Linked DNA regions of Macaca fascicularis. The protein of the gene in region 2 interacts with the protein of the main gene of each other region in a pairwise test. Links are inferred from orthologs where the notes say so. Each region holds a gene or a part of one and is shown on either strand. Other genes may lie near its edges. The genes, in order: PNMA5 and VIM.

What was found.
Region 1: the proteins of VIM (region 2) and PNMA5 interact in binary tests that used the Homo sapiens proteins (3 or more experiments, as listed by UniProt). The link is inferred for Macaca fascicularis from reciprocal best matches to the Homo sapiens genes VIM and PNMA5.

What each region holds. Positions count from the first base shown.
Region 1 is NC_088395.1:159,078,820-159,094,753, forward strand, and holds PNMA5 (paraneoplastic antigen-like protein 5), read right to left. Parts: upstream 8,086-15,934; 5' UTR 7,788-8,085; exon of another isoform or gene 7,774-7,787; intron 7,594-7,773; 5' UTR 7,472-7,593; coding exon 6,125-7,471; 3' UTR 4,712-6,124; downstream 1-4,711.
Region 2 is NC_088383.1:18,128,927-18,144,823, reverse strand, and holds the start of VIM (vimentin), read right to left. Parts: upstream 6,923-15,897; 5' UTR 6,778-6,922; coding exon 6,215-6,777; intron 5,551-6,214; coding exon 5,490-5,550; intron 2,591-5,489; coding exon 2,495-2,590; intron 2,408-2,494; coding exon 2,246-2,407; intron 1,495-2,245; coding exon 1,369-1,494; intron 1,018-1,368; coding exon 797-1,017; intron 364-796; coding exon 320-363; intron 1-319. UniProt on the Homo sapiens protein: Vimentins are class-III intermediate filaments found in various non-epithelial cells, especially mesenchymal cells. Vimentin is attached to the nucleus, endoplasmic reticulum, and mitochondria, either laterally or terminally.

The DNA.
Region 1 (15,934 bases), on a different chromosome or scaffold from region 2:
TTCCATCTTCTAAAGGGATAGATATGAGGACAGGGCATCTCTGAGTCCCGTCTGCTCTAGGCACAGGCCTGAGGATGGGACCCCTGTCGGTCCATCTACTAGGGGGATAGAGGTGAGGACAGGACGTCTCTCAGTCCTCTCAGCTCAGGGGACAGGACTGACGATGGAAGCCCTGTCGGTTTATCTTTTAAGGGGATATATATGAGGACCGAACCTCTCTCGGTCTCCTCAGCTCAGGGGACAGGCCTGAGGGTGGGACCCTTGTCGGTCCATCTTCTAAGGTTATAGATATGAGGATAAGACCTCTCTCGGTCCCCTCAGCTTAGAGGACAAGTCTGAGGATGGGACCTGTGTGCGCCCATCCTCCAAGAAGATAGATATGAGGAGAGGACCTTTCTCTGTCCCCTCAGCTCAGGGGACAGGCCTGAGGATGGGACCCTTGTCGGTCCATCTTCTAAGGGGATAGATATGAGGGCCGGACCTCTCCCAGTCCCCTCAGCTCAGGGGACAGGCCTGAGGATGGGACCCCTGTTGGTCCATCTGCTGAGCTGATAGATGTGAGGACAGGACGTTTCTTCATCCCCTCAGCTCAGGGGACAGGCCTGAGGATGGGACCCCTGTCGGTCCATCTTTTAAGGGGATACATATGAGGACAGGACGTCTGTCAGTCCTCTCTGCTCTAGACACGGACCTGAGTTTGGGACCTCTGTCGGTCCATCTTCTGAGGGGATAGATATGAGGAGAGGAACTCTCTCAGTCCCCTCAGCTCAGGGGACAGGCCTGAGGATGGGACCCCTGTCGGTCCATCTTCTAAGGGGATCGATGTGAGGACAGGACCTCTCTCAGTCCTCTCAGCGTAGGTGGTAGGCCTTAGGATGGGTCCCCTGTCCCTCCATTTCCTAAGTAGATAGACTTGAGGACAGGATGTCTCTCAGTCCTCTCTGCTCAAGGGACGGATCTGAGGATGGGAACCCTGTCGGTCCATCTTCTGAGGGGATAGATATGAGGACAGGAACTCTCTCAGTCCCCTTAGCTCAGGGGACAGGCCTGAAGATACGACCCCTGTCGGTCCATCTTCTTAGGGGACAGATATGAGGACAGGACCTCTCTCAATCCTCTCTGCTCAAAGGACAGGCCTGAGGACAGGACCCCTCTAAGTCCTCTTTGCTCTGGGATAGACACGTGAATGGGATCTTTCTCAGTCGACTGTGCTCAGAAGACAGGCCACAGCACAGGACCTCTCTCTGCCCACTAAGCCTCACATGCCTGAAGACAGCATCTCTCTCAGTCTTCTCTGCCCGGGGACACCGGAGGATGATACCTCTCCCACTGCTTTCTACTCAGGGTCAGGCCTGAGTAGAAAGGACAGGACCACTCTCCGTCTTCTCTGCTAAGGGGACAGACCTTAGGATGGGATCCCTCTCTGACCTCTTACACAGAGGATGGGCCTGTGGACAGGACCTCTCTTATGACTCTCCGCCCAGGGATGGGTCTGAGGACAGGAGTCCTCTCAGTCGTCCTGCTCAGGGGCTGCCTGAGGATGAGACCTCTGTCAGTTCTGTTTGCTCAGGGGACAAACTAGAAGATGGGACCTCTCTCAGTCCTCTCTGCTCAGAAAGAAACCTGAGGATTGTACTCTGTCGGACATTTCTGCTCATGGACAGGGCTGATGATAGGATCTCTCTCAGTTGTTCTGCACAGGGGACACCTGAGTATGGGACCTCTTTCAGTCCTCTTTGCTCATGGAACAGGCCTGAAAATGAGACCTCTGTCATTTCTCTATGATCAGGGACAGAGTTGAGGACAGCACCTTTCACAGTTCCCCCTGCTCAGGTTTCGGAGAGAGGCCTCTCTGCTCAGGAGACCCAACTCAGTCCTCTCTTGTTAAGGAACAGGTCTTATGATGGCACCCATCTCAGTTAATTTTCTCAGAGGTATACCTGTAGACAGGACCGCTCTCACTCCTCTCTGCTCGGGGGACAGACCTGAGGACAAGACCTCTCTCAGACCACTTTGATCAGGGACAGGCCTGGTGACGGGACCTCTCTCAGTCCTCCCTGCTCAGGGGATAGGCCTTAGGATGGGACCCCACTCAGTCTTGTCTATTCTGGGACAGTCCTGAGGACGGGACTTCTCTGAGTCCTTTCTGCTCAGCCTCAACCCCCATGATTGGGCTCTGATCCCGCTCCCTCATCCACTGCTCAAGCCGTCTGTGAGCCCAGGAGGTTGCTGCTTATTGGATGGGCTTGGTCAGCCCCTGGGCACCCAGGAAGGCACCTCGATGGACCTTTCTGTCCCCAGGCCACACATGCCCCGTGCCCCCACCCCCCAGGGACACTTGGTGAGGACTGTGCAGTGAAGCACAATGCATGGTAGGAGCTCTGCAAGCCGGCACACACCAAGGGCCTGGCCAGGATGAAAGGGACAGGGGGCCCCGTGGTGGGGCCCGTCCTTCAGGCCCAACAAAGTCTCCTGGCTCCAGGCTGGTGGGGAAGCAACTGGTTCCTCCCGGTACCGCCTTCCAGACTCCCTGGCTAGATCCCTTCTAGGTTTCACAACCCAGCTATCCAGCCTGTGTGCTCACACGCTCACTGACACAGTCGCGCACACGTTCAGTGACACGCTCACGTTCCAGACACACTCACATGCGCGCACACATTGAGTGACAAACACGCATTGAATGACACATACATGCCTGCTCATCGACACACCCACATTTGCAGTCAGCACACTCACGCACAATGACTCACAAACACACACACACTGACACGCATTGACACACTCACAGTGTCACACACATGCAGCGACATGCATGCTCACCTTCAATGGCACAGCCTCATTCCCCCACACACTCCCACTCACACATGCTTAGTGATGCAGTCACATGCTGTCACTTGGATTCACACACACTCACTTTCTCAGAAACTCATGCACATGCTCACACTGACACACACACGCACATGCGCAAACACACCCGCTCAGACACTCACGGCACACACAGGTCCACTCTGAACAGGGAAAACCAAGGAGCCCTGACAGGCTCTGGCAAGGTCAGCCAAGCTCTTCGCCCTCTCTTCTTGTCCTGTCCCTGAAATCTGGAGGGGCCCTTGGAAAGTGAGCAGTTGACTTGGCCCTGCTGAGACACAAGGGACAGACATGCTGGGGTTGTGCCCAGCCTGAAGAAGGCAGGGACAGCAGAGCACAGTGGGGGCCACAGGCATGCCCGCAGGGCACCCCGATGCGACACACTACAAGGGTCCCTGAGACACTGGTTAGGCACCTTCAGGCCGAGGAGGCTGCAGACCCAGCCCCAGGGACCTGCTGCCCCTGCCCCTCCCCGACAGCCCCGCAAAACTACCCCCCGCCCACGCCTGCACTCGCCTGTGTATGCCTAGTGTCTCCCAGGGCCCCTGCCGCCCTGCAGCCCTGCTGACTGCAGCTCTGCTCAAGCAGACAGGTCGCCTAGATCCAGGATTCCTCAGCCCGGGCGGGCAGCCACCCATTCCCAGCACTGGCTCCCAGGCTGCTTTGGGGCACCCTGGCTATCATCTGAGCCAAGGGGATGGTCGGAGGCTCTGTGCTCCAGAACAGCTGGAGGAAGCGTGTGGGCACAGACTGAGTGAGCTCTGGGAGACCCTCGCCAGGTCCAAGTCACTGATCCCGTCCCCTCCCCGCACTTGTGCAGGGAGGGGCCTATCAGTTGTCCCAGTCCTGTTGCCCACAGACTCTGGGTTAGTTAAATGGCTGATCGAGGACTACCCTCAATTTGTGGCGAGCTCCCTGGCCTGTTGGGAGAGAGAGCCAGTCCCAGGAGGGCTCAGGAGGGCGGGTTCCAGGATCCTCAGGCCCCCACTGAGGACTGCCCCTCCGGCCAGTGCTCAAGGAGGGGTGTTCGGATTAGCAGCGCTGTCCACCCTGAGGGAGCCCTCCTCAGGCAGCATCCAGGGCTCAGAGGGCCTCGGGGACGCAGGACAGAAAGGGGTCACTCCCCAGGGCCATCTGGACTTGCAGCTCATGGCCCACTGCCTGCTCCCAGGACACAGGAGTAGAGGCCCCCCCAGCACACTGGGAAGAGAGCAGAACAGGACCCAGGATGAAGTGCAGCTCCCCCCGCCCTTCCTCTCCCCCTCCCCGACACATAAGCACTTGGGATCCCTGTCTGACCAACACTCTGTCCCTTGGCCATCACACACACACACTATCCCCAAACATCCCTCAGTGGTTAGGCCAAGGCTGGCCACCTGCGGGCTGATCTGGGAGGGTGGGCACACAGCAGCCCCTGCACCACCCCCTGAGTCCTGCACACAGCTCTTCACAGGGCCTCTGACTGCCTGTCCAGGCCCTCCTGGGGTTCTTCTCTGACCTTGGTTTCTGCCCTCGGTTGCACACATGGCCTCTCTGACCCTTCTGGAAGCCTTGAGCCACACCCCTACAGTGCTGCCAGGAATCAGGGGCCTGGAACCCACCTGCTGCCCCTTGCCCAGCCTTCAATGTCCAACCCACTTATTCCTGAGGGCACCTGGAGTGCCTTTAGTACCCAACCAGTCACTGCTCATGACCACCAGCATCCTGTCGCCAGGCTCCATGCAGCCCAAGGCACACCACAGGTCCTCATGGACACACACCCCAATGTCAGCCTGGCCACTGTGGCCTCGTCCCCAGCAGACCACCGCCCACCCCAGTTTCATACAGAAGAGGCAAGACACTGCTGGAACACTGAACAAAATTTATTGAAGAGAAACATGAACTGAAACCGCTGAAGAGAAGGGAATTGTAACACAGACAGACACTGCAAACAACCACTGCAAGTCACAAGTCCCAGGCCCCTCCCTCACCGTGGCTCCCCCTACCACATCCCTCCTTCCACAGGGCCCCAGGATCCACCTCTTGCCAGGATTGTGGGCTCTGGCAATGTGTACTCACTTCAGGTAACCCCCTCCTGAGCCCACCCGCTGGGGCAGGGCCCTGTCTTATAGACTGCACAGGACAGTCACAGGATGCTGGAAAACATAGCAGGGAACACCCCACCAAGTTGAGGAAACTGAGTCACGAGTAACAACAGGGGTGGAACGCCAAAGCACAAAGCTTCCTGGGGAGCCTCAGGCAGCCCTGCTCCGTCCTGTGTCTGGTTCGTCCTCCTGCAGTCAAGGTCACGGTCACAAGGTGAGCGTCTGCCATGCCTCCTTCCCACTGTCTCCTGGAACTGCGCTGGGGTACTCTGGAAAGGAGCTGCTCAGATACAAACACAAACATCCCCAAGAGAACAAGCAGCTGCTGGCCGAGATCTACACCGGCAAAGCAGAGGTGGAGTTCTTGACACGGAACAGCAGTGAGCAGAGCCTGGGCCTGGTGATGACGCAAACCAAAAACAACTACCCACCCCCAACAAGTCCTCTCTTCTCACACTTCTTCCTCCTCCTTCCCCTCTTCCTCCTTCTCCTCCCCCTCTTCCTCCTCCTTTTCTTCCTGCCCCTCCTTATTCTCCTATTCCTCCTCCTGATCATCCTCTTCTTAATTCTCCTCCTCTTTCTCTTCCTCACTGGTGCAGGGGGTCATGAATGCTGCCTTCCTGGGGCTCCCCTCATGCAGTGTAAATGATCCTAAAGACGGGCTGGACCCTGCAGCCTCCCCTGCCGGGCTTCACTTCTCCCCCACAGCTCTTCCTCAGCAGCCCTGGCTCCTTCTGGCAGAGGCAGGCCCCAGGCAGGCTCCTCCAGGTCCCACATGGCCTGGGTGCCAGTGGGCATTCTCAGCTCAAAGTTCACAGGGTGGATATTTGGGGGTGTCCAGATGACCAGGCCAGAGCCCCCAGCCACACCGTCTTCAGCCCCTGCTTTGTTGGGGTCCCCATCTGAAGCCCAGCCACCCCCTGTGCTAAGTGTAGCTGTTCCCTGCTTGTGTCTCCTATACCTGTTAGGGGCCATGGGCCTGGCCCCCACTGAACCAGATGCTATTTGGTCTAGGTTGGTGAAGTCCCTTCCAGCTGGTGGAAAGTAAAGGGGCTTGATCTTGACCTGGCTTCCCTGTCCCTCTGCCCCAATCAAGTTCCCTGTTAGTGTAAGCTGCCCTTTGTTCAAATGTCCCTGCTGCCTGCCAGGGGAAGGAGTGCTTGGGTCTTCTGAGCCTATGTTTCCCAGGGCTTGGGATGGCTCATGGCCCCAGCCCCTGCCTCGTTTCCCGACTCCTCTCCTGCAGCCTGTGGCCCCTCCCTGCCTGGAGTCTGGTTTTCAGCCTTGGGATACATGGCCTGGCCATAGTCTTCTTCCCTAGTGCTTTCACTGCACGACAGCCGCCTGCGTTTCACTAATGGGGGTAAGCCTCCCTGTACAGTCTGGGTGCTGCTGTCGCTCAAAGACCTTGCCTGCACGGTGGCCTGAGGTGCAGAGGCACTGGCTTCTGCTCTTGCCTGTCTACCAGAGGCCCCCCGGCCTCTCCCTGATGGCTTCTCCTTATTCTTCATCACTGCCTCAGTGTTCTCCCACTCTTCTTCATCTCGAATAAGCTTCATTAACTCCAGAAAATTGGGAGGACACCCTCGCTGATCCAAGAGCTCCAGCTTGCCTCTGAGGGCGGGGGTCATGGAGACCCGAGCTAAGAGATGTTTCAGACGAATCATGTCTGCGCTGCGCACTGACAAGGGGCTCTTCTGCACTGCTTTCTGCAGCAGGGGCTCTAAGCGCAGCAGGAAAGTGGAGACTTTCTCTCCAATCTTCGGAAAGGTCTGCAGAAACTTAAACTGAGAGGCTCTGAAGTCCTCTTTATCCCCAAAGATCTGCTTTAAGGCGTCAAGGCACTGCTCCACAGTTATGGAGTCATTGTTGGCCTGGAGCACCCGCATGATTGACAGAGCAGGCCCTCGTAAGCTCTCCAGCAAACGCCGTCTCTTCTCCATCTCAGACACTTGCCATATGGGCATTATCTCGGTGACCTGCTCTAGCCAGTCTTCAAAGGTCTCTTCACCTGGGCTAGGGGAAGCAGTTCCCGAAAACACTTTCAGTTTCCGGTACCACATACTTTCTTTCAGAGGCTCTAAAGGTGGGGGTCTAACTTGGGGTACGACCTCTGCATCCAGGCTCTCGGCAGGGAGGCTGCAACATCCCAGGGCTCTGGCCACATCTGTCATACTTCGGCCCTCATCTTTCAGGAAGTAGTTCAGTCTAATGAGAAACTCGTCATCTGGGTTACGGGGTTTTACCACCACTTCCCAGGAGCCCCCCTTTCCTGGTATGTGACTAGGCAGAGTAGTGTAATCGACAGTGTCAGCCAATTCAATGAAGACTGCCTTGGCGTTGTCTTCCCTCCTGAACATTCTCCCTAGCACCCTGTATGCGCGCAGGGGCTGTAAGCCTGCCTGCACAGTGTCCTGAATTTCCATCTCACTACACTCCACGGGGATGCCTATGATCAGCAGGGCCTTTCTGGGGTCCATGTCCATCCCCTTGCACCAATCCTCTAGCAGTGTCAATGCCATTGCTCCCACTTTCTATGGACTGATCTAATACTAGGGCAGCAATCAGCTTAGTTTGACAGCACTCAAATAACTCTGAGCCACTGCCACGTAGGAAGGTAGAAGTGGTCCCAGGTTTCCACAGCCTGCAAAGCAAATGGGATGAGAGCATTGTTAATGCCTACCCCAACCTATACCCCCAAGCACCCCTCCTCTGCCCCCACCCCCGAGCAGGGATGGAGTCCCTTCTTCCCAGGGTTCCCCAAGTTATTTTGGGGAGGGTAGAGGGTGGAGGTTCTCCCCAGGCAAAGATCTCCTCATCTCACCACTCCCTGCTGACCTCCTCCTGCTGTGGGTTCCTCCTCGAAGTCCAGAGGACTCTGCTGTGTGTGCTTCGGGTATCTGTAGTGAAAAGGCCAAAGTCAGGAGGCAGGGCCTGACATCTGGGGACACTGACAAGCTCTCCAGGCGGAAGAGGGCAGGAGACGGCCTCACTGCTCACTCAGGGCTATGTGGGCTCAGGTCACCCAGCACCCTCCTTGCTGGAGTGAAGGCTGGCAGCAGGAGAGGTAGAATGGCCCTCTTTCTCAGGAATGCCTGACAGATGAGAAAGATGGCCGAGCTCTGCGCAATGCAATGAGAGTGGTGGGTGTGGAGATTGTGTGACAAGCTGCAGTGTTGCCATGGATACAGAGAATACCATGGACCATGGGTTGCTATTGCAGGGGAGTGTCATGTGGTAAGGCTAAGGTCCTTGAGAAGCAACAGGTGATGTCATTGGCCTCCAACCAATAAAGCTTCCCAGCAAAAAGGAGGGTGGGAGAGGGAAAGCGAGGTGGGCTTGAGGAGTGAGTGCTGAAAGGACAGGAGCTCATGGTTTCAATTGTGTGGAAGCTGAAATCAGGTAGAAAAGGGACCCTGATGAGGTCCCCACTGCCAGACTGCAGGAAACCAACAACTCTTGCCCTAGAGATGGCCCTACCCTGCAGAGTCTGTGAACGCTGGCAGGCAGTCCCCTCTCCACACTCTTTGCCGGGGTTCCAGAGACCCTCCCAACAGGGCCCACCTCACAGCTGCTCACCTTTCTGGGTTGGCCCTGCTGGCAGCGCAGATGCTGCAATAACACAGTCACTTCAGAGTCGCTCTGCTCTTCAACTCTATCCAATTAGGCAGTTCCTGACTCAGGCGTGATGGTTCCTGCTTCCCTGGATCTGTCCAAGGCAAAGCACAGGTATTTTGCTGTGATTCTGTCCCACACACATGTCCCTGCTCAGGCCATGCCAATTCAGATTCTGCATAGGTGTCCACTAGGACCCTGGTGCAGGGGTAGAAGAAACTGCTCAACTGGCAGAGGGAAGAGGAGGGGGGAAGGGGGGAGGGGTGGGGGGGAAGGAGGAGTGGGGGGAAGAATGGCGAGAGGGGTGGGAGGTGAGGAGGGAGGTGGGGGGCGGGGGGGCTGCTGCTAGGGCAGAAGGGATCCTAAGGTAAGGTTGCAGCCCCACCCCCACTGCAAACTTCATTCCCTCCCAAGCCCCACCCCTGCAGCCATGTTGCACCCCTTCCTAAGCCCCACCTCAAAACTTGCACGCCTGCTGCCAAACTCTGCCTACAACTAAGTTGCACCTCTACCCCAAGCCTAGCCCCCCACCAAGTCCAACTCCTTCCACCACCCAAGTCTAACTCCCGCCTCAAGCCCTGCCCTCACCCACAGTCCAACTCCTACCCCAAGCCCTGCCCCCTCACCAAGTCCAACTCCTACCTCCATGCAAGTCTAACTGATGTCCCCAAACCCCCACCTCCATTTCCCTGTTCCCCCAATCCCCACCCTGTTATTTACATACACCCACACCACCGACACCAGTGGAAGCAGGCAGAATCTAGGAGGGGAAGGTTCGAAGCCACTTTCCCTCAAGGGCAAGGGCCAAGAGCTACTGTCCTGACTGCAGTGTCTCCGGGCAGGGTCGAGGGTGGAATACGTCTCCCTGAAGTTTTTTTTTCTTTTTTTTTTTTTTTGAAACGGAGTCTCACTCTGTCACCCAGGCTGGAGTGCAGTAGGGTATGATCTCAGCTCACTGCAACCTCCGCCTCCTGGGTTCAAGCGATTCTCCGACCTCAGCCTCCTGAGTAGCCGGGATTACAGGCGTATGCCACCATGCCCGGCTACTTTTTGTATTTTTAGTAGAGACTGGGTTTCCCCATGTTGGCCAGGCTGGTCTCCAACTCCTGACCTCAGGTGATTCACCTGCCTTGGCCTCCCAAAGTGCTGGGATTACAGGTGTGAGCCACCGCGCCTGGCCAGGTCTCCCTGAAGTTCTGCCTGGAAATGGCAGGGATTCCTCGGGGTGCTGTGTGTGATCTAGTGGGATCCCGCCTCCATGGAAACCTATGGCCACCAGCCCCTAGACCCCGTTGAAAATAGCAAGGATTATTGGGGGGATCCCCCGCAATCTGAGTTGCTGTCTAAGCCCGGGGTCCAGCTCCGTACCTGCCGGAGGTGCCTCCAAGCCGGTGTTCCCGCGCAGCGCGACCACCACACGTCTATGGCGGCTGCCGCCTCCGTGCCGACTGCGCCACGAGGCTGTGGCGGGAAGAGGTTGTCTGGAGACGACACCACTCCCCCAGCGGAATTGCACACGGCCCGCTCACGGTTGCGCACTGGTGACATAAACTCTCCTACTTCCCACAAGGTGGTTCCTCACCCCGCCCCCCCGTGCCAGCCTGAGCCAGCCTGCACCTTTGAGGACAGAGAATGCAAGCCCAGCTGGGAGCCACTTACATTGCAGAATAGCTCCCAGTCCTGTTGTTTATTGGCTGGACGATGGTGGCAGCCAGGCTCGCCACGTGCCATTTGGCCCAGCAGCCATTGTGGCTGTTCCCCATTGGAGGGGAGCTGTGGCGTCCCAAGCCTGTGGTGAAGGGCCGGGTGCAAAACACCCCGTGCAACGTATAGGCCACGTGAGCGCGCTTGCTACCTGAAAGTCATAGCCCCCGTTTTTTACTGGACTGTGTTCTAGGGGAGGAGGGCAAAAAATACAGCTAATGCCTGCATTTCACAAGGGCATTAGTTTTTTTCACTGCTCACTGAGAGCCAGTGACTGAAAATATTCCATTCTCCCATTATTCTCCTGATTTCACGACCAAATATTACGCACCTAGTACCCAAGCTGCTTCCTGTCGTTTCCCAAAGCAGGTTTCTTCCACAGAGGGAAGATCCTGGGGCCTGCAGTGGCCCGAAAGTGCTGTTCCAGAAAAGGGTGTGGGTGCGGCACAGGTAGCATACTTCAAGGTGCACATAAATCCCCTGGTAATCTTAAAAAAATGCAGGTTCTGAGTAAGGAGATCTGAGGCAGGGCTGGTTCCGCTGAAAGCTGGGTTACTTGCTGCATATCCCTGCCCAGGCTATGTGGAGCAAGGGTCTGAAGCCTATGATTACATTTCAGGGCCAGAAGTTATGGACCTTTAATGACAGAATATATTTGTTTTTCTTTCTTTGTGATTAAAAACAAAACAAAACAAAAACAGGCTTTTCTGGTAATGTTTTAATAAATATGTTAAAAGCAGACAACATTTTAAATTGATGGTCACTAAGCAAGATATTTGCAGATGTCACCTTCTTCAGCCAGGTGTGGTGGCTCACACCTGTTATCCCAGCACTTTGGGAGGCCAAGGTGGGCAGATCACTTGAGATCAGTCTGGCCAACATGGTGAAACCCCGTCTCTACTAAAAATCCAAAAATTAGCTGGGTGTGGTGGTGCAGGCCTGTAATCCCAGCTACTCAGGAGGCTGAGGCACGAGAATCGCTTGTACCTGGGAGGCAGAGGTTGCAGTGAACCCAGATTGCACCACTGCACTCCAGCCTGGGCAACAAAGCGAGATCCTGTCTTTTTTTTTTTTTTTTTTCTTCTGAGAAGGAGTCTTACTCCTTCTCCAGCCCAGGCTGAAGTGCAGTGGTGCAATCTTGGCTCATTGCAAGCTCCGCCTCCTGGGTTCACGCCATTCTCCTGCCTCAGCCTCCCGAGTAACTGGGACTACAGGCGCCTGCCACCACGCCCAGCTATTTTTTTGTATTTTTTAGTAGAGATGGGGTTTCACCGTGTTACCCAGGATGATCTCAATCTCCTGATCTTGTGATCCGCCCACCTCTGGCCTCCCAAAGTGCTGGGATTACAGGTGTGAGCCACTGCGCCCGGCCGATATCCTGTCTAAAAAAAAAAAAAAAAAAAAAACCATTGAGAGCCCATTAAATCAATCTCCTTCATGTGACAAGAAAATAGTGCTGGAAGCCATTGCTTAGCTGCCTGGTATCACAACATCACAGAAGGTGATGCCTCGGACAGAGGTTCTGCCTCAGTCACCTCTGAGCTACTGAGGCCTGTGAATGTAGTGATTTGGGGGACACAGTCTGGAGTCCTAGTACCTGGCTGTCCGCCAACTCCCAGCTTCCAGACCCTGCCCCTAAGCATGAGCTTTCTCTCTGCCAGTTTCCAACCCCCTTTTTCTCTCAACACTTCCACTAGGCCATTTTGAGGGTAGAGGGTCAATGGTTGGGCCTGTTGCCCCCAGAGGCTCAAGCCTTGGCACATCAAGCCCTTACCATGCAGGTCCCGTTCCCAGGGCAACATGGATGCCTCCCCCTGTCTAGCTATTTGCCTCCCCCGGAGACTCTGAGATTTTTCTCCTTCATCTATCTGAGGCTTCTGGGAGAAGTTGGAAGCCCATGTGCCCTTAATACAGCCGACCTGAGATATCCCTGCCCTGTGCAGCCCCAGCTGCACTGCTGAGGCGTGATCTTCCACCTTCCCGTTCCAGGGCCTCGAGGTGGTCTCTGGAGTGGGCTCCACAGCCTGAAGGTGGCATTTGCCCATGGGTGGTTGCAGTGTCTGCAGACAGAGAGCAGGCACCAGCGGGACCCCAGAGTGGCCGAGGGCGCCCTGGGGAGGAGCCAGATTGCTGTGCCCCCAGGCAGTAGGTGCGAGAGGGGGTCCTGGTCTGGAACCTGAGGAGAGGGGAGGAGGGTCTCCTTGCTGCAGGAGTCTGGGTGGGGTGAGCTCCTGGCTGCAGGGTGCCTCTGGCTACAGAAGGGGACTATGGTAGAGACAGGGGCTCTGACTGTGGGGGAAGGGGACTCCTGGCTGCTGACACGGGAGGCGTGGGAGGGGGTTGTCAGGTTGCAGGGATGATGGGAGGGGGCTCCTGGTCAAGTGCTGGGAAAGAGGAGGTGGGCACATCCAGCTGCAGGGTTCCATATGATGGTTGGAGTGGCTCCAGCTGTAAGTTCTGCCATCAGGGGCTGTACACCAAGGTGAAAGAGATGCTTCCTGCTGTGGAGGTGGGGGATGCAGTGAAGGGCTCTGAGCTGCAGCAGTAGGGGTGGGGGAGCATGGGCTGTGACACTGGGCAGGGAAGATGCTTCAGGCCCTGCATTTGGGAGTGGCTGGTCTCTGACTGTGTGGTGGGGGTGGGCTGACTGGCACCAACATCCCTCTCTCCCCTTTGCACTCACAGGCTGCGTCAGAGACTGCAACAGTCAGCACACATTCCTGTCTGATCAGGCTCCCTCCCTCAAGTCCTCTGCGATGGCTCTGGCGATGCTTCGGGACTGGTGCAGGAGGATGGGTGCGAACGCAGAGTGCTCCCTGCTCATCCTGGATATCCCTGATGACTGTGAGGAACATGAGTTCCAGGAGGCCATGCGGGCTGCCCTGTCGCCCCTGGGCAGGTACCGAGTGCTCACCAAGCACTTCAGAAAGGAGCTCGGGGCCAGGGCAGCCTTGGTGGAGTTCGCTGAGGGTTTAAACCGAAGCTTGATTCCCTGTTGAATACCAGGCAAAGAAGGACACTGGAACATGATCTCGCTGCCCCAGGCCCCTGATGCTGATTTCAGGATATATCCAGTTTCCCTGCACAGCCCCAGGGGCAAGCAGTGGCCAAAGGTGCAGGTGAAGCAGGAGCTGCAGGTGAGGAAGATGAGGCAGGTGATGGAGGAGCTGCAGGTACAGCAGGAGCCATAGGTGAGGCAGGAGCTGTGGGTAAGGGTGAGGTAGAAGCCACAGGTGAGGCAGGAGGTGCAAGTGAGGCCGGAGGTGCAGGTGAGGGAGGAGCTGGAGATGAGTTGAGAGTTGCAGAAGAGGCAAGAGAGTCAGATGAGGGAGCCGCAGGTGATACAGGAACTGCAGGTGAGGCAGGAGCTGTGGGTGAGGCAGGAGCTATGGGTGAGGCAGGAGGGACAAATGTAACAAGAACCTGGGTCCAGCCTTGGCGCTGCACCCTGCAGGCTGTGCTGGAAAACAGGGCCTACCAGGAACTAAGACCCTTTTCCAAGAGGGAGCAGCCAGGCTGCGAGGAAGAGTCCTTTGAGAGCTGGGTGGAGCATGCCAAGGATATGCTGCAGCTGTGGTACCATGCGTCGGAAAGGGAGAGGAAGAGGTGGCTGCTGGAGAGCTTGAGTGGCCTGGTCCCGGACGTCGTGAGCGGCCTCCTGGAGGAAGATCCCAACTGTGGCGGTGCTGGACTGCCTGGCGGTGGTGCTGGAGCAGGTATTTAGGAACCGGGTCACTCGAATGACTTCCGGGCTGAAGTTCCTGACCTGCCCGCAGGGGCCCTTTGCCTTCCTGGTACACCTGGAAGGCCTGCTGCAGATGGCCCTGGAGAAGGCGGCCGTCCGCCCGGCCCTGGCCAATCACCTGCGACTGCGGTAGGTGCTGCCTCAGGCCTGCCCTAGGGAGGCCCTCCAGAATACCCTGAGGGGGATGCAGCTGGAGAGGAGGCCACCCAGCTTCCTGGGGCTGCTCCAGCTCATCCAGGAGATGGAGGTGTGGGTGGCCTCCCCAGTGAGGAGCCAGCAGGGTGTGGCCTGGCCAGTGGCTGCAGCAGAGAGTGAAGACCCAGTTGCCGCCCAGGCAGCTCCTGCCCATGGAGATGCTGCCCAGGCCTCCTCAGCCCAGGGGGACGCCAGCCAGGCTGATCCTGGGGTAGAAGATGCTGCTGAGACTGCTCCTGCCACCAAAAAGGCTGTCAGGGGCACCCCTGCCACTGGGGAAGGTGAAAATGCCCCTGCAGAGCTCAAAGGAGCCAGAGGGCCTTGTCCAGGCAGGAGGCCAGGAGGCTGAGGAGCCCCCCAAAGGGAGGCTTATGTTCATCCTGGAGGAGTTGGAAAATGAGGACAGGGCCAGGGAGGTGGGCCAGCGCAAATCCTCCCCAGGCAAATAGGCTCAGAGGGCCCCAGGGCCTCCTCTCCTCTCAGGCTGCAGCATCCTGGAGGCAGAGGGGAGGCCAGGCCAGGGCTGGTCCCTCATCCCATATCAGGATTGGGGCCCCCCACCTCCCTCCAAAGGGCCCTGGCCACCACCATCAGCCCTTCCCGGTGACCCAGATGACCACGTTGATACCAAATGGGGTTGGGGGAGGTGCCCTTCCTTTGCACCCAGTGCTGCACCCAGCCCCAGCCCCAAACTCTGCCGTCTCCAGGGTTCTGGCCTGGAGGGAGCCCTGAGTGGCCAGCTGCGGCCTGGGTGGGGGCACCTGAAGATGTCTGTCCCCCACCCCTTGTCCTGGGTTGGGAGAGACAGGGGCAAAGAGGTCCTCTCAAGGGTGCCAACTGCCTAGGTCTCCCAAGAGGGTCACCCCACTTGCCGTCCCCAGGGCAGGCTGCCCCCTGTTCTGGGAAGCCCACCCTCACCTGTGTAGGCCCCGCAGTGACCCAGCAGACGCCCACCCACTGCTAGCTGTCGTTCCTCTGCAAAGTTGTGTGTTGTGCACCCACCTGGGCAACCGCCTCTAGGCCCGGGGCATGTGCTGTGAGCTTCCTGCGAGCCCAGGTTCTGCTCACTGCTGCCTGTCCTGCATCTTAAACACCACCTCTGCTTTCCTGGTGTAGATTTAGGCCAGTGGCTGCTTGTTCTCATGGAGCTGTGTGTGTTCTTCTCTGAGCAGCTCCTCCCCAGAGGCCCTCAGCACAGACCCAGGAGATGGTGGGAAGGAGGCACCAGGGCACGGCGGATGCTCACCCTGTGACCACGATGGTGACCATGACTGTAGGAGGAAGAGCCGGACCCGGGATGGAGTGGGGCTGCCCTGCCTGAGACTTCCAGGAGAGCTTCATGCTTTGGTGTTCCACCCCTGTTACTCATGACTGTTTCCTCGACCTGGTGGGCTGTTCCCTGCTGTGTTTAGTGGTGTCCTGTGACTGTCTGTGATGGCCATAGGGCAGGGCCCTGCCCCAGCAGATGGGCTCGGGAGGGGGTTCCCTGAAGCCAGTGGACACTGCCAGAGTCCACCGTCCTGGCAAGAGGTGGACCCTGGGGCCCTTGGGAAGGAGGGAGGTGGCAGCGGGGTCAGCAGCAGGAGGGAGGTAGACGAGGCACCTTGCCAGGAACCCCAGGAGGAGGGATCCCAGGACCTGTGTCCTGTGGTTGCTGTTTGCAGTTTCTCTCTGTGTTGTGGCTCCCTTCTCTTCAATGATTTCAGTACATGTTTCTCTTCAATAA
Region 2 (15,897 bases):
ATGATTTGTGGGGGAGAGACAATTGTGTGAAGTGCTACTCCCCAAATAATTTTTGAGTAGTCTCTGTTTGCAAGCCCAGGCCCTGACACACTTGAGAATCAGGATGAGACAGCACTTGCAGCAGGAAGAAGGAAAAAGGAGTTTGCATTTAACTTAGAGCATAGAGTGCAAGAGTGTACTTGGGTTTGAAAAGTAGATGTTTTACAGAGTTTTCTCTTATATGGCATTTTTCAGATATCCTAAAAAAAAGAATGCTTTGACATAAACACCATGGTTACAAGCTGCTGATGTTTTTCTTAAAGGGAAATAAAATGCTTACCCCTCAGGTTCAGGGAGGAAAAGTTTGGAAGAGGCAGAGAAATCCTATAAACAGATGAAGAGAAACAGTAAAATTGTAGGCACATAACTTCAACCACTAGGAACAAATTAATGCACTTCTCGTTTTCGTCATGTAAGAGAATGTACTGTTTTAAGTCATAAACTAGGGATTTGTCTCAGAAACATTTTCCTACGACTGGTCTTGTTAGTACATTTAAAATATGTTACTACATTTTCTCCACAGAGGCATGAACAGGAGTTAGAAGAGTGGAGGTTTTGACAGATTTGTGGGTTCAAATCCCAGCTCTGCTGTTATTTACTCTCTCTCAATTCAAATTCCTCCTCTACAAAAAGTGGAAAGTAGTTATCTCAAAGAAACTTTCTAAAGACTAAATGTGACACTGTGCTTAGAGGCCAGTGGCACAGGGCCTAACAAATGGTCACCATTAGTTCACGCATCCAAGTCTGAGTTCCCTACCTGCTCTCCTCGCCTTCCAGCAGCTTCCTGTAGGTGGCAATCTCAATGTCAAGGGCCATCTTAACATTGAGCAGGTCTTGGTATTCACGAAGGTGACGAGCCATTTCCTCCTTCATATTCTGAATCTCATCTTGCAGACGGCCAATAGTGTCTTGGTAGTTAGCAGCTTCAACGGCAAAGTTCTCTTCCATTTCACGCATCTGGCGTTCCAGGGACTCATTCTGTAGGAGGTGAGAAAGATCTCTGGTGTTATTTCTCAGAAAACCCCAGCTGTTCCCAGAACCATTTACAGACCTTCTGCAATAATTTCCATTAGTGGCAAATGGCGACCACTATAATTTTTGGTGGAGAATACAAGTACCAAGTCCTTCATATGAGAAGCAATGATATATGCAAGCTAAAACCTTCAAGAGCTCCATCAAGTCCATTTTGAGTCTGTCTTGATAATTCATTTTCTTTGCATTAAGGTATAAATTTTTACTCACTCAGCATTTTGTTCAGGTTATCACCATGAGCTTAGTCAACAAAATGAGTCATTATTTTCCCTCTTTTACTGCAGGGTTGGTACTCACGGTTCCTTTAAGGGCATCCACTTCACAGGTGAGGGATTGCACCTGTCTCCGGTATTCATTGGACTCCTGCTTTGCCTGGCGTAGGGCGTCATTGTTCCGGTTGGCAGCCTCGGAGAGGTCAGCAAACTGTTAGGAAGAAAACAGAAATGTAGATTGCTCACATTCAAGTCTTTTGATTCTCTTAGAAAAAAAATCGTATTTCTCACTGAATGTCTTCCAGTATAGGTTTAAATTTCTGTTTTAAAGTCAGGGAAAGAGCAGTGGAGTACTGACATTAATATTTTCAAAGTTCACTCTACTATGCTCATTTCAACACAGTGGACGTCAAAGGTATGGCATTGGGGTTTACTTGGAGGCAAGGTTAGGGAAAAGGGAGTCTGCTATTCTGAACGAGGTGATGTGGCCAGGTGTGGTGGCTCACACCTGTAATCCCAACATTTTGGGAGGCTAAGGCGGGTGGATCACCTGAGGTCAGAAGTTTGAGAGCAGCCTGATCAACATGGTGAAACCCCATCTCTACTAAAAAGACAAAAATTAGCCAGACATGGTGGTGCTTGCCTGTGGTCCCAGCTACTTAGGAGGCTGAGACAGGAGAACCACTTGAACTTGGGAGGCGGAGGCTGCCGTGTGCCAAGATGATGCCACTGCGCTTCAGCCTGGGCAGTAGAGCAAGACTCTGTCTCATAAATATACATATATATATATAAAGGAGGTGATGTGAGTGGTGGGAAGGCCGTGGCGACAAACACAATGTGAGCAAGAAGTCAAAGCCAGCTTTGCATTGGAGCTAGAGGATATTTAGGAATCGCACACAGGTATGGGGTATTGAGAACACAATGCTTTTCTTTTGTTCAAGCCACACTGATTTGTTTCCTACCTTGGACTTGTACCATTCTTCTGCCTCCTGCAGGTTCTTGGCAGCCACACTTTCATATTGCTGACGTACGTCACGCAGGGCAGCCGTGAGGTCAGGCTTGGAAACATCCACATCGATCTGGACATGCTGTTCCTGAATCTGAGCCTGCAGCTCCTGGATTTCCTGCAAAAAGAACAGACAGACGGTCAGCTGTGCCAGCCGTGGGGGCTGCCTTACCCTCATTCATTCCCCAAAAGTCACTCCACTAACCTCTTCATGGAGTTTCTTCAAAAAGGCAATCTCTTCTTGCAAAGATTCCACTTTGCGTTCAAGGTCAAGACGTGCCAGAGACGCATTGTCAACATCCTATTTTGAACAGAGAAAAGACAGGACATGGAGGATGTAAAAGTCTATGGCTTATCTCATTTATTTGTCTTAGATTAACCATCTGAACCTAGTCTCCTTACTATAGAAAAGGTGTTGACACATTTTATGACCCTTGAATAGGTTTATAAATCATTCAGTGCTATAATATGCTGTGCTTTCTCCTGCTCACTAATATATTTTAATTGTGACCCCTTGTGTTTTACTCAAGGTGGTGAATGGACAATTTTAAAATAAATAAACGTCCACACACATGGTAAACTGCACTCAATCATGACTGAATCCACATTTTACCTGTGACATTTTAAAATTATTTTTTAAGGCTGGTCATGGTGGCTCTTGCTTGTAATCCCAGCACTTTGGGAGGCCGAGGCGGGTGGATCACTTGAGGTCAGGAGTTTGAGACCAGCCTAGCCAACATGGCGAAACCCCATCTCTACTGAAAATACAAAAATTAGCTGGGTGGGTGGCACACACCTGTAGTCCCAGCTACTTGAGAGGTTGAGGCAGGATAATTTCTTCAACCCTAGGAGGCAGAGGTTGTAGTGAGCTGACATAGCGCCACTGCACTCCAGCCTGGGCAACAGAGTGACACTCTGTCTCAAAAAAGAAAGTAATTCCTTTAATTTAATTACTTTTTAAATCTAGAAAATCTATGCCACAACATTGTTAAGATTTGTTTTGTAATTTCATGGAATAACATGATGATAGAGGTGGACAAATTTTCATAACTTCATGTACACTTGAGTACATGGAGAACAGAAACTTGTGCTTCAAGAGTTTTAGCTTTTTTTCCCCACTCAAATCTTTTGAAACTTATCCTTAGGCTCCAAAGCAAATATGCAATCATGTGGCATCCATTGTACAAGGCTAGATTTATATTCAATAATAACCCAATTCAGGATATGCTGCCAAAGATTCAGTTCAGGAAAAATTGGAAAAGAAATGTAACTCTGAACTGTATTTTCTCTGCTTTCTCTGATGGATTTTTCTTCTAAAACTCCTTTGACTCATCCTACAAAGGCGTGTCTTTTTCGCTTGCCACTGTATCCGTTCAGTTGGCCTGTTTCAGAATGACTGGTCAAACTTGCAGAGAATGAAACTACATGAAGGATTTTTGCTGATTCAGCTGTCCTTCTATGTTTCCATTTGTAAAGCTCAACATTCCAATTCAGAACATGTAATCTTGCAACTAAGATTTTATTTCCTCTCAAAAGGATGCGTGAGGATTGTTTATCTTGTCAGCAATTATATTTGGAGTTCAGTTTATAGCCTTATGGTCTTAAACTGTTGAGACTTTTCTATCACCTTAGTGGAAAAATGAATGAAGAGTGGGTGATAAAAAGATCAGACTTGATGAAAACATTCATTTTTACTTGCTAAGCCCTAAGAAATACATAAAAGATATTTTACTAATCTCCAAAGAAAGATCAATGTGGTATTACTATTACATTGAAGAGAATGAGGAATTTTGCTTAAAGAGAATGAGGAATTTTGCTTAATCTCGAAACAGAGGATCTTTTGTATTGATGTTGTTTTACGTTAACTCACTACTCTGCAGAAAACATTACAGGTATGATAATCAAAAATGCTCAAGGACTAAAATGAACCACACATTGCTGTGGTTAAATTAATTTGGTAAATGTATTTCAGTTTCAAAATGTTGTACTACACTATTCATCTGAGAGTGCTTTGTAGTTAATCCCAGTAAATATTCCAGGGAATAAAACTATAGACTATAATGGGGATCTTCTGGCTTCTGGATTCCAATTTTAAGTCAAAAATTCTATAAGTCCATCCAATTTTGGTGGGAAAAAAAAAAACGCACAAAAACCCTTTAGTTAAAATTGAATTTTTCAGCCTTAGATTTATTACTATTATTATTATTTTTTATGGCGAGAGTGCTAAAGAATACAAGAATCCAATCAAGAAAGGACTTTCAAAATGTGAGGTATGTTTGTAGCTTTAAAAACTTTTTACATTACATACTTCTCAAGTCTGGGCCAGATATTAGATAACGGATGTTAGCAAATACTTGTGTCCAATTAGAACCGTGCTTACATCACTACATATTCAATAAGAATGTAGCCTGCTGCAAAGCTTCCCCGGGAACACAAAGACTCCTATTATTTCTGTCCACAGCCACCACATTTGCCAGAATGTCTGTATCTACATTCCATAGTGAAGCCCATAGAAACCATTAATACCCCTCAGCCGAGGGGACAGATGGCTCCTTTTCACCCTTATTAGATCACAAAATAGTTGTGCATAGTGATACTTCCATCGAACTTTAATGCCACAATAGAAGTTGCAAAGAAGAAAAGAAACTTGCTGGCTCCATTCCAGTTGGAAACTAAGTTTTCTTATCTTCCAACACGTTTTCCATTTTAAACTGTAGGGCATAACTGCGCTTTTTGTGACCTTGTAAAAATTAAGCGACTTGACTTTGGCAAACCACAATCTAAAATTGTGACCGTTCGAAACCAGAAGGTCAATGTGTTGCAAAACTGTGCAACATTTTGAAAACAAAGTAGAAAGTTAAAAGATTTTTCTTTATGTCCCAAGGAACGGCTTAGAAATCATTCAAGGATCGCTTGAACCCGGGAGGCAGAGGTTGCTGCGAGCCAAGATCTCGCCACTGCACTCCAGCCTGGGCGACAGAGTGAGACTCCGTCCCCCAAAAAAATCGTCCAAGCGGTTTTATTAATATTTTTTCTAATAATGAGAAGCTCCAATCTGTGGTCTTCCCGCCACTAGAGGGCTTTACGCGCAGCCCTGAAGTTTTGCACTTTTTAGACGTGGGTTAAGCAACTTTTAGAATTGCTCGTGGGTTGTGTTGGGTGGGGTCAGGTAGCTGCGAGTGGGAAGAGAGCCTACAAACCTGTCTGAAAGATTGCAGGGTGTTCTCGGCTTCCTCTCTCTGAAGCATCTCCTCCTGCAATCTGAAACAGTTGCGCATTAACCAAAGGGGAACTGGGAAACCGCCAGGGGCGGGGCGGCCACACCCAACCACCACGTAGCCGCGCTGCGCCTCCAGAGCCGCTGCGCCACCTCGGCGCAACTAGCGCTTGCAGCTTTCAGGCCTGTGGCCCTCGGCAGGTTTCAGTGGGACCTTGGGCACCGCGCAGAGGGGCAATCACGGTCGCCGCACAGACCTGCAGGACAGCGCCGCCATACCCACCCCCGAGAGACCATCCCTTTGTCTCGCTCCCTCCACCGCCTTCCCCTCCTTCCTTCGCCCGCCCGGCGATTGGCCGCCCGCCAGAAGGGGCAGGAAACTTTATAAAAGTTTGGAGGACTCGCTCTCATTGTGCCCAAGGGCCTTCAACTGCACACAAAGTGGTAGTTTTAAGAAATCTGTAACTTGAAACGGAGCGTCCTTGGGCAATGTGTGGGGACAGAGGGGGAAATGCGAACTGCAAGGTCTGGGTTCTGGGCGGGGCTGCGCCGCCACAGCCACAGCCGCTGCTCTCCGCAGTCCCCCCGGCAGGCCTCCCCCGGGCCTCATCCCCAAGGGCGTGGCAGCCCTGGCGGGGGCGGGGGGCGTTCCCCTCTCCCTCCAGCCCCCTCCCGAGGCCCAGCGACTTGCAATGGGCGCAGCCTTACTTCTCCCGGAGGCGCATGATGTCCTCGGTCAGGTTGTCGCGCTCCACCTCGACGCGGGCTTTGTCGTTGGTTAGCTGGTCCACCTGCCGGCGCAGCTCCCGCATCTCCTCCTCGTAGAGGTCCCCCAGGCGCGACTTGCCCTGGCCCTTGAGCTGCTCGAGCTCGGCCAGCAGGATCTTATTCTGCTGCTCCAGGAAGCGCACCTTGTCGATGTAGTTGGCGAAGCGGTCATTCAGCTCCTGCAGCTCCACCTTCTCGTTGGTGCGGGTATTCTTGAACTCGGTGTTGATGGCGTCGGCCAGCGAGAAGTCCACCGAGTCCTGGAGGAGCCGCACCCCGGGCACGCTGCTCCGCAGGCGCACGGCAGAGGAGCGCGTGGCATACACGCCGCCCGGGGACGAGGCGTAGAGGCTGCGGCTGGTGCTGGGGCGCAGCGCGCTGCCCAGGCTGTAGGTGCGGGTGGACGTAGTCACGTAGCTCCGGCTGGAGCTCGGCCGGCTCGCGGTGCCCGGGCCGCCGAACATCCTGCGGTAGGAGGACGAGGACACGGACCTGGTGGTCATGGCTGCGGAGGGTGGCGATGGGCTGGGCTGCGGCGGTGGCGCGGACTGGCTCCTAGAGAAGAGGCGGACGAGGGCGCGGTGGGTGTGGGTGGTGGGAGCGCGGCTGAGTCTCTGGCGCGGGGACCTCGGAGCGAGAGTGGCAGAGGACTGGACCCCGCCGAAGGCGCTGTTTTTATAACCGCATTAGGAAGGAGGGTCCCCTCCCACTGCCATCCCAGCGGCGGAGCGCGCCAGCCAATAGGGACCTGGCGAGAAGCGGGGAGGGTGGGCGGGTGGGGTGGGGGCGCCCTCGAGCCTTTCTCCTCCAGGGCCTGGGACTGGGCATGGTCCCGTTACTTCAGCGCTGGGCTGGGACTTTTGGGGCTTTCCGGATGATAGTCTGAGCTGGGCTCACCCTGGGGTGCTGAAAAAGGCGGGGTCGCGCGGTGAGGGGGGATCCGCCCGGGACTGAACCAGAGGAGTCCGGTGGCACCGCGCCAGAGGGGCGTGGGAGGAAGCGCGCGGCTGCCTCGGGGCTGCGGTCAGGTGGGGAGACCCGCGAGCAAAGGAGCGGGAAGAGGGAAGAGTAAGGGATCCGGCAGATCTGAAGTCGCTGAGAAAGAAACAAAGAGCGCCTGAGATTGGAACGCGGGATGGGGGCGCGCACAGCTCAGGAACGCAGGGCTCAGGGCCCCGCGCAGCCTCGCTCACCGCCCGCTTGGAAAGGGGGGCTGCTCCGGCCCGCGCCTCTGTCAGTCGACTTGCCTTGGCTGGGAGATGTTGGGGGGGAGGGGAGGCTCTATCGAGGGACCTAACGGACTCAGTCCAGCTTCGGACGGCGGGAGTTGCCAGGCGGCGGTGGCAGAGGAAAGCCCGAGGGAGAGGGGTGGGGTCGCTGAGTCACCGGTGGTGACTCACCGCGCCCTGCTGTCCCGCCGATTGAGGGCTGCTAAGCGGTTTAGGGGAAACCGTTAGACCAGATTGACTCGAGTCTCCGCGGCTCCGCGCGTGCTGCTGGTTCCCAGTCCTACCAACTTAGAGCTGGGCCATCGCTTTGATGTGTGCGGTGGGGCCCTTTGGGGGACAAGAGCGCCTCTAAGTTCTTATAACTCGCTAAAGCCTGACTTTGCTCGATGTGTGGACTTTTTGTTAGTAAGAAACTTCTTCAGCCTTTGAAGAGGCGCCATACGTGGGCCTCCTGGATCACGATTGCACCGGGAAGGTTTTTCTTGCAGAGTCCCCGCCCCCGTCCCTCCGGTCTCCTCTCGCTCTTCCCCCTCCCCGCGTGAAACCACACCCAACTTTTTAAACAAGATCTGAAAATTCTGGGTGAAAGAGGAAACTCAACGTCCGTAGTTTCAAAATCGAACTCAGTGATCAGTGGTTTTCACCCTGGTGGAAGTTATTAAAGGTATAATTTGAGCCAATGAAATAATTAATTAGGTGTTGCTTAAAAACCCCAATTTGATTAATGAGTTCAAATGAAAGGCAATTATATAACACAAATGACAGAATGTTTGGCGGCAATAGATTTGTGTGTTAATTTTAGGACAGCAATGCACAGTGCAGGGTTCACGGTGATTTGTCTGGGAAATGTCACAGGTCCTGTTTTCCAGAAGAATTCGTGCAATTGACCTTGGGGTGAGGGGGGATAAAACTGTCCACGGAGCAAAAAACTTCGTGTCCCAGGCACGGAGGGAGTGTTCAGATTCGGTCATCTTAACCTTTCTAGGGAAATCACTCAATTCAAGGGCTGTTGTTTCAATATTAGTAACGAGCAGAGCTGAGTACTCACCAGCCAAGGGAGATAAAAGGCGGCTATGTAAATCAGTCTTCTTGTGATTTAGTAGCAATTGAAAAAGCACAGGTTTTTTGAGTATTTAGATTTATGGTGTACTGAAAGGATTAACTACAGAACCACTGTAAAATCGATTCTGCAGTGGATAGGAGGGAAAAAAATGCATTTCTTTCTTTCTTTCTTTCTTTTTGGTGGGGGCAAGGGGTACTGCAGGTTACCTGGTATTTAAGAAAAATAATTTAGAGGCCAATGAAGAGCTTCTTCTGACTTCTTCGGACAAGCCTCTTTTAGGCAATATTTTGTTTACCTTATCCCGGTTCGTTCTTGCAAATGGTGCTGCCAAGGTGGAATTACAGGACTCTCTACTGCCCAGCTCGCCTGCTGGGGCTTTCTTTTATTCTCTCTTTCACTGGGAGGCTGCAGGTCATTCCCCAAGAGCATTCCTGGGGCTGGGTGCCCTGGAGGACAAACCTATGCTCTGAGTTACATCTTGCTTTCTGAGAGCCCTTTATTCAAGCCACTGCTCAGCAAATGTCACCATTGTGAGTTTGCCTGGAACCCTTAGAATGAGAAAGGCGATCTCTGTATGGGAGGAAGAGAGTGTGGAACTCACTTCTACATGCAATGCCGATCCCAGGGCAATGCGGTGGCACTGTCAGGGGACACTTGCGGACTGACTCACTATGGAAAAGGAGGACAAGGCATTGGCGCAGTGTGGCACTGTGCCCTGCTGGTGCCCATAGCTGACTCCTCAGGGCTGTGGTGATGTCTCCTGGAATGGGCACCGGTTCTCTTCATCATCTCAGGGATAGGTAGCTCTTCCTTCCAACCTGTCCCCATTCTGAAGTCTCAGGGCTGTGACAGGCTGCTCTCTTGCCACATACATGTTTGTTTGATGCACATAGAGTGTATAAAAGTGTAAGTGTTGTGTAATCCCAGCACTTTGGGAGGCCAAAGCAGGAGGATTGCTTGACATCGGGAGTTTGAGAACAGCTTAGGCAACATAGTGAGACTCCATCTCTAACATATATATATATATGAAACAAAAAAAATTCGCCAGGCATGGTGGTGCACACCTGTGGTCCCAGCTACTTGGGAGACTAAGGTAGGAGGATTGCTTGAACCTGGGAAATTGAGGCTGCAGTGGGCTGTGCACACCACTGCACTCCACCCTGGGCAACAGAGTGAGAACCTGTCTCAAAATAAAGTATATGTATGTACTACACACACATATACATATACACATATACAGCGTTCAATGTGTGCTTCCTGTTAGAAAATACCATTGTTTTTGGTGGGCTGTAAGAGAAGTGAAAGCTACAAAAACACTTTCACTCATTAATGTAGAATTCATGAGACTTAAGAATTCATTTCATTCTCAGATAAGATATACAGTGCCTCAATCAATGGGTGATAGTCATCAGTCAGGGAGATCAATGAATCTGAACTTACATCCTTGAGTGAGACAACTCAGCCTGCTCTCTATGCTACTATGTTCTTAGGTATCTTTTGGGTACACAGACATAGCTTTCACGGGTTTTGTGTTTATTTTTTGATTGCTATGAAAACCTATCTCAGAAGTATTTTTAAGTGCTGGACTAGGAAGCTGCTTTCAACACAGCATGATGTGAGTTGCATATAAATAAAGACATGGTGGTGTAATTCATAGCGCAGGCATAAACACTACCACATCTAAATTACCAACAGTGATTTTGGAATTTGCAAGCTGTCATGATGTCAGTTGAATTGGGTGACTTAAACTGACGGACCAGCCAGCCGTGTGGACAGAAGCTTAGTGGCCTATGGAGGCTTTGGGAAAGCTGGCTAGCCGTGCCAAGAGAACAGCATCTAGCAGGACTGTTTGGATGGAATGTTAGAAAGAAGGAGGAGGGTAGAGTGAGAGGGTGAAAACCATATCAAAACCTAAAATCCATGGAAATACAGGTAATAATAATAGTATAACTACTTTAATGTTGATACCAACTGGATGACAGGCACTGTGTATACATTTAATTTAACTTAACGCACTCACACCCTCCTGCAAGATAGACTTGATCATCCACTTCACTAATGAGGAGTCTAAGATGCAGGCTAACAATTTTCTTGCGGTCGTATGACTAGCAGGGGAGGGAAGAAGGGGACAAGAATTTGAATCGAGGCCTTTCTGACTCTAAATGCACATCTGTTTTCTGTTTGTCTTGATAACAAAATTTTGCTTATTATCAACCAGTTCAATTCACAAATATTAAGTGCTGGACTTATTATTTAGGGACCTACTACGTTCCAGGAACTGAAGAGATGGGATGATTAACACAGATCTTGCTGCTAAGGGGCAGATTTTTAGAAGAATTTGGCAGACAGCTACAACACCATGTTTATGATGTAAAATGATGTAAAAAGCAAAATCAAATGATGTAGCAGTGATCGTAATATATAAGAAGGGAGTTTGTTTTCACCTGCATTCTAAAACTTTACTTTCATTTGTGAGTTAAAATTTTTCACGTAGATTCCGTTTTGCCTCTTAGGAGGAATCACATGCGAGATTGGGTTTAGCTTACCTCACGCCCTAAAACCCATGAACCACCGTCGCTTCCCTTGCCAGCTTCCCTGTCTATTCAGGGCAACGCAACGAAACAACAAGATTGGAAACTTTCATCATTGCCACTTTCTAACTCTTCCATCCCAGATCCAATGGGTATCATGCCCCGCTCTTTCTGGATCCATTCCTCTGTTACGTTGCTGTCACTCAGATCCAAGCCATTTCGTACCGCCTTCCTGCAATACTGCAGTTGGCTTCCATTCCTCCATCCTTTTTTTCTCCCACCAATGCATCTATCTTCAAGCCATCACCCCTTTTTCTTTAAAAAATATATATTATATATATATATATATATATAATTCATATATATATATTTAGAGACAAAGGCTTGCTCTGTTGCCTAGTCTGGAGTGGTGCAATCATAGCTCACTGCAGCCTCTTAACTTCTGAGCTCAAGCATTCCTACTGCCTCAGCCTCCCAAGAAACTGGGATTACATGTGTGTGCCACCCATGCCCAGCTAACTTTTTATTTCTTGTAGAGCCAGGATCTTGCTATGTTGCCCAAGCTGGTCTTGAACTCCTGGGCTCAAGCAATCCTCCAGCATTGGCCTCCCAAAATGCTGGGATTACATGCATGAGCCCCCACAGTTGGCAAAAAACTTCCTTCTTTAAACTTCTTGGTGGGAATTGCTCATCTCCTCACTAGAATGTAATCTCCATAAGGGAAGGCAGGAATTTTTCTCTTTTTTGTTCACCATTGTATTTCCAGTGGCTAGAGAAAAGCCAGGCACATCTGTCGAATATATACATTAATACATGGGTAGTTCATAGAAGGAAGAAATAGTGTGTGGGGCTAATATTTACTGGTGCTTATTATGTTTAAGCATTGTGCTAGTCACTTTAGACATGACTGCATTTAATCTTCACAAGGTATCATGGTACACAACTTTTATTCATTTACTCCAAATGTATTTATTGAATATTTGCCATGTACCAGGCAGTCTGGTAGACACTGGGGAAGGGACAAAAGCAGGTATGGCCCAAAGCCTCTTGGAATGTAGTGTTGAGTGTGTATATGTATATGATTCAGAGAGACAATACTCGTAAAGAAACAAACAAAATAATTGCAAGTGGTGATAAAGACTGTGAGGAAAACAGAAATTTTGCTGCAGAGGAAGTTGAGGATCATAGTTAACTGGTGGCCTTTGGAAGCTATGTTAAGTATGTATATCCATCCTCATTTCCCACTGTTCCCCCCAGGCAGCAATTTCAGTAGAACCCTAAGCTCCTTCTTATTCCATGAATATAGTACATTTCCTCCACCCTCAGGTCTTTCCTCATATTCCACTCAACAGATAGATGTATTCATATTTTTTTGCACTGCCTGCAATGTATCTTAGTATATTTCAGTAAGTAAGATACTTTTTATGCCTCTAGGGATCTCATAGCCTTGTATAAGGATTAGAAAGCAGATAAAGAGTTGGAATACATAGCAGAATGAGGTAAGTGAGTGCTGTTGCACAGATAGGATTAAATACTGAAGAGTTTAGATGGAGAAATAATCATTGCGGCACTATTCACAATAACAAAGACATGGAATCAGCACAGGTGCCCATTAACAGTGGATTGGATAAAGAAAACGTGGTGCATATACACTGTGGAATATTATATAACATAAAAAAGGATGAAATCATGTCCTTTATAGTAACATGGATACAACTAGAAACCATAAACCTAAGCAAATTAATGCAGCTAAACAGAAAACCAAATACTGCTTGTTCTTACTTCTAAGTGGGAGCTAAACATTGAGTATACACAGAGACAAAGAGGGAAACAATAAACACTAGGGATTCCCAAAGTGGGAAGGAAGGGAGGAGGCAAGGACTGAAAGACTGCCTATCAAGTACTATGTTCGCTATTTGGGCAGCGGGATCATTAGAAGCCCAAACCTCAGTATCACACAACATATCCACGTAACAAACTTGCACGTGTACCCCCTAAATCTAAATTTTTTTTTAAAAAAAACTATAATACTATACCGAAAAATAAGTTACATATTGTTGAGAAAACAAATGATCATATCTACTCGGGGGAGAACAGAAATTGTCATTAGAAAAGACAGTATTTGAAGAATGAGTACAATTTCTACAGCTTCTCAAGGCAAAGAAAGGTTGCTCTAGTGCTGACCAAACAGTATAAGCAAAAACTGTGTGGGTGGCAGAGTGCTGAGGACATTTAGGGAACAGGAATAATCCCAGGGTTGCTGGATTACGGAGTATTTGTAGGGGAGAAAGGGAACTGAAAGTTAACGTGGGATTATGCGTTGGACGGGTAAATGCCAGGAAGAGGAGTTGATAATTAATGTGGTGGGCAGTGGGAATGCACTGTGAATTTCAACTGGGAGAAAGACATGCTTGTAGCTGTATTTTAGGATTGGAGAACGAGGCTGATTTGAGGTCTGCTTGAGGTAGATCAAGTGAATGGTAAAGGGAGCCTGAGGCGGAGATGATTTTAGCAATTGTGATATTTAAGGGCGAGAGGATAAGCAAAATCGAGTGGGCTCTGAGCCTTGTGAACAGGGTAATTAAAAGAATAAATGAGGCCGGATGTGGTGGCCCACACCTGTAATCCCAGCACTTTGGGAGGCTGAGGTGGGCGGATCGCGAGGTCAAGAGATTGAGACCAATTTGGCCAACATGGTGAAACCCTGTCTTTACTAAAAATACAAAAATTAGCTGGGTGTGGTGATCTGCGCCTGTACTCCCAGCTACTCGGGAGGCTGAGGCAGGATAATCGCTTGAACCCAGGAGGCGGAGGTTGCAGTGAGCCGAGATTGTGCCACTGTACCCCAACCTGGCAACAGAACAAGGCTACATCTCAAAAAAAAAAAAAAAAAAAAAGAAAAGAAAAGAAAGCATAGATGCCTTCCAGACAGAAATAATAGAAATAATTAGTTGGAAAGTTAATTTGAGTTGAAAGACAGTTAATTCAGGTACCTTAACCTGGAAGTATCTTCCCTTCTCTGGTCTATATGAATTGTAGTCTCACGGAGGTGAGCTATAACTGGACAGTGTGGTTTTACATTATCCAGCAGTGGTCCCCAGCTTGTTTGGCACCAGGGACCGATTCCATGAAGACAATTTTTCCATGGACCAGGCGTCCGGGGTGATGGTTTCGGGATGATTCAAGTACATTACATTTATTGTGCACTTTATTTCTATTATTACATTGTAATATATAATGAAATAATTCTACAGCTCACCATAATGTAAAATCAGTAGGAGCCCTGATTTCCATATAATTTCCTGCAATGATATGGTCCCATCTGGGGATGATGGGAGACAATGAGGGATCATCAGGCCTTACATTCTCATAAAGAGCACACAACCTAGATCCCTTGTATGCACACTACACAATGGGGTTCACGCTCCTGCGAGAATCTAATGCTCACCGACCGCTATCAGACCAGGCCCAGGGTCTGCAGCATTTCTAAGCACTTTTAATCTGTTCACCTAAAGGATTAAAGTAGACGGTCTTATATTGTCATTTAGCTGCTTTGAGTGAATTAGCCTTGTTCCCACAATTAGTGTAAAATCATGAACTTCATCACGATTCTCTAAAATAGTGTTTAAAACATTAGAAGGGAAAGAAAAAACCATGAAGACACTTTCTGGGAGATATCTTTGAACATGCGAGGGGGAAAACACAGGTAACAATTCCCTGTAGATTTTAAGTAATTTTCAACTTCATCAAAGTCTAATTCACAGTCTGTGACAGAGGAAAGAGAAGGGGGTAAGTATGTAGGGAAAACACAAGAGTTTAATTAACATATGGAGGAGAAATCTAGTGCAAAAATAAATTCCAGCTGATGTTGGACAAAGAACTAACGCCAGATGTTCAGTATTAGTTCACTTGATCAAAAAACAGTAACAACCACAAACAAACAAACAAAAAAATCATCAATCCAGTTATAAAAACCTCATGTCATTTGAAAGAGCCCGAAATGACATCATCCCAGTTTAGTTACTGGCTGAGTGAGACTACCATAAGAAAACTATCAGGTATTTGCCCAGCGGCCTATGATGTTGTTTTTCTGTTTTTCCTTTTTTTTTTTTTTTTTTTTTTTTTTTTTAGAGAGAGAGAAAAAAAGGTTATGCAATTGGCATCTTGGGAATTTACTCTGTCTCCTTTGAGGAGGTCATGTAGTTCCCAAGTGGTAGAAGTTTTTTTCTCAAGATATTTAGGTAAGGGACCTAATAATAATTTTGTTTAATAGCACAATTTTCTTTTTTAACTTTTATTTTAGGTTCAAGGGTACATGTGCAGGTTTGTTATACAGGTAAATTCGTGTCACATGGGTTTGTTGTATGGATGACTTCATCACTCAGGTACCAAGCCCATTGTCCAATAGTTATTTTTTCTTACCCTCTCCCTTCTTCCACCCTCCACCCTTAAGTAGGCCCCAGTGTCTGTTGTTACCCTCTTTGTGTCCACGTGTTCTCATCTTAGCTGCCACTTATAAGTGACAACATGCAGTATTTGCTTTTCTGTTCCTGCATTAGTTTGCGAAGGATGATGGTCTCTGGCTCCATCCATGTTCCTGCAAAGGACATGATGTCTTTTTTTCTTTATTCTTTTTTTTTTTTTTTTTTTTTTTGAGGCAGAGTCTCACTGTCCCCCAGGTTGGAGTGCAGTGGCGTGATCTCGGCTCACTGCAACCTTTGCCTCCCAGGTTCAAGCAATTCTCCTGCCTCAGCCTCCCAAGTAACTGGGATTACAGGTGCATGCCACCACGCCTGGCTA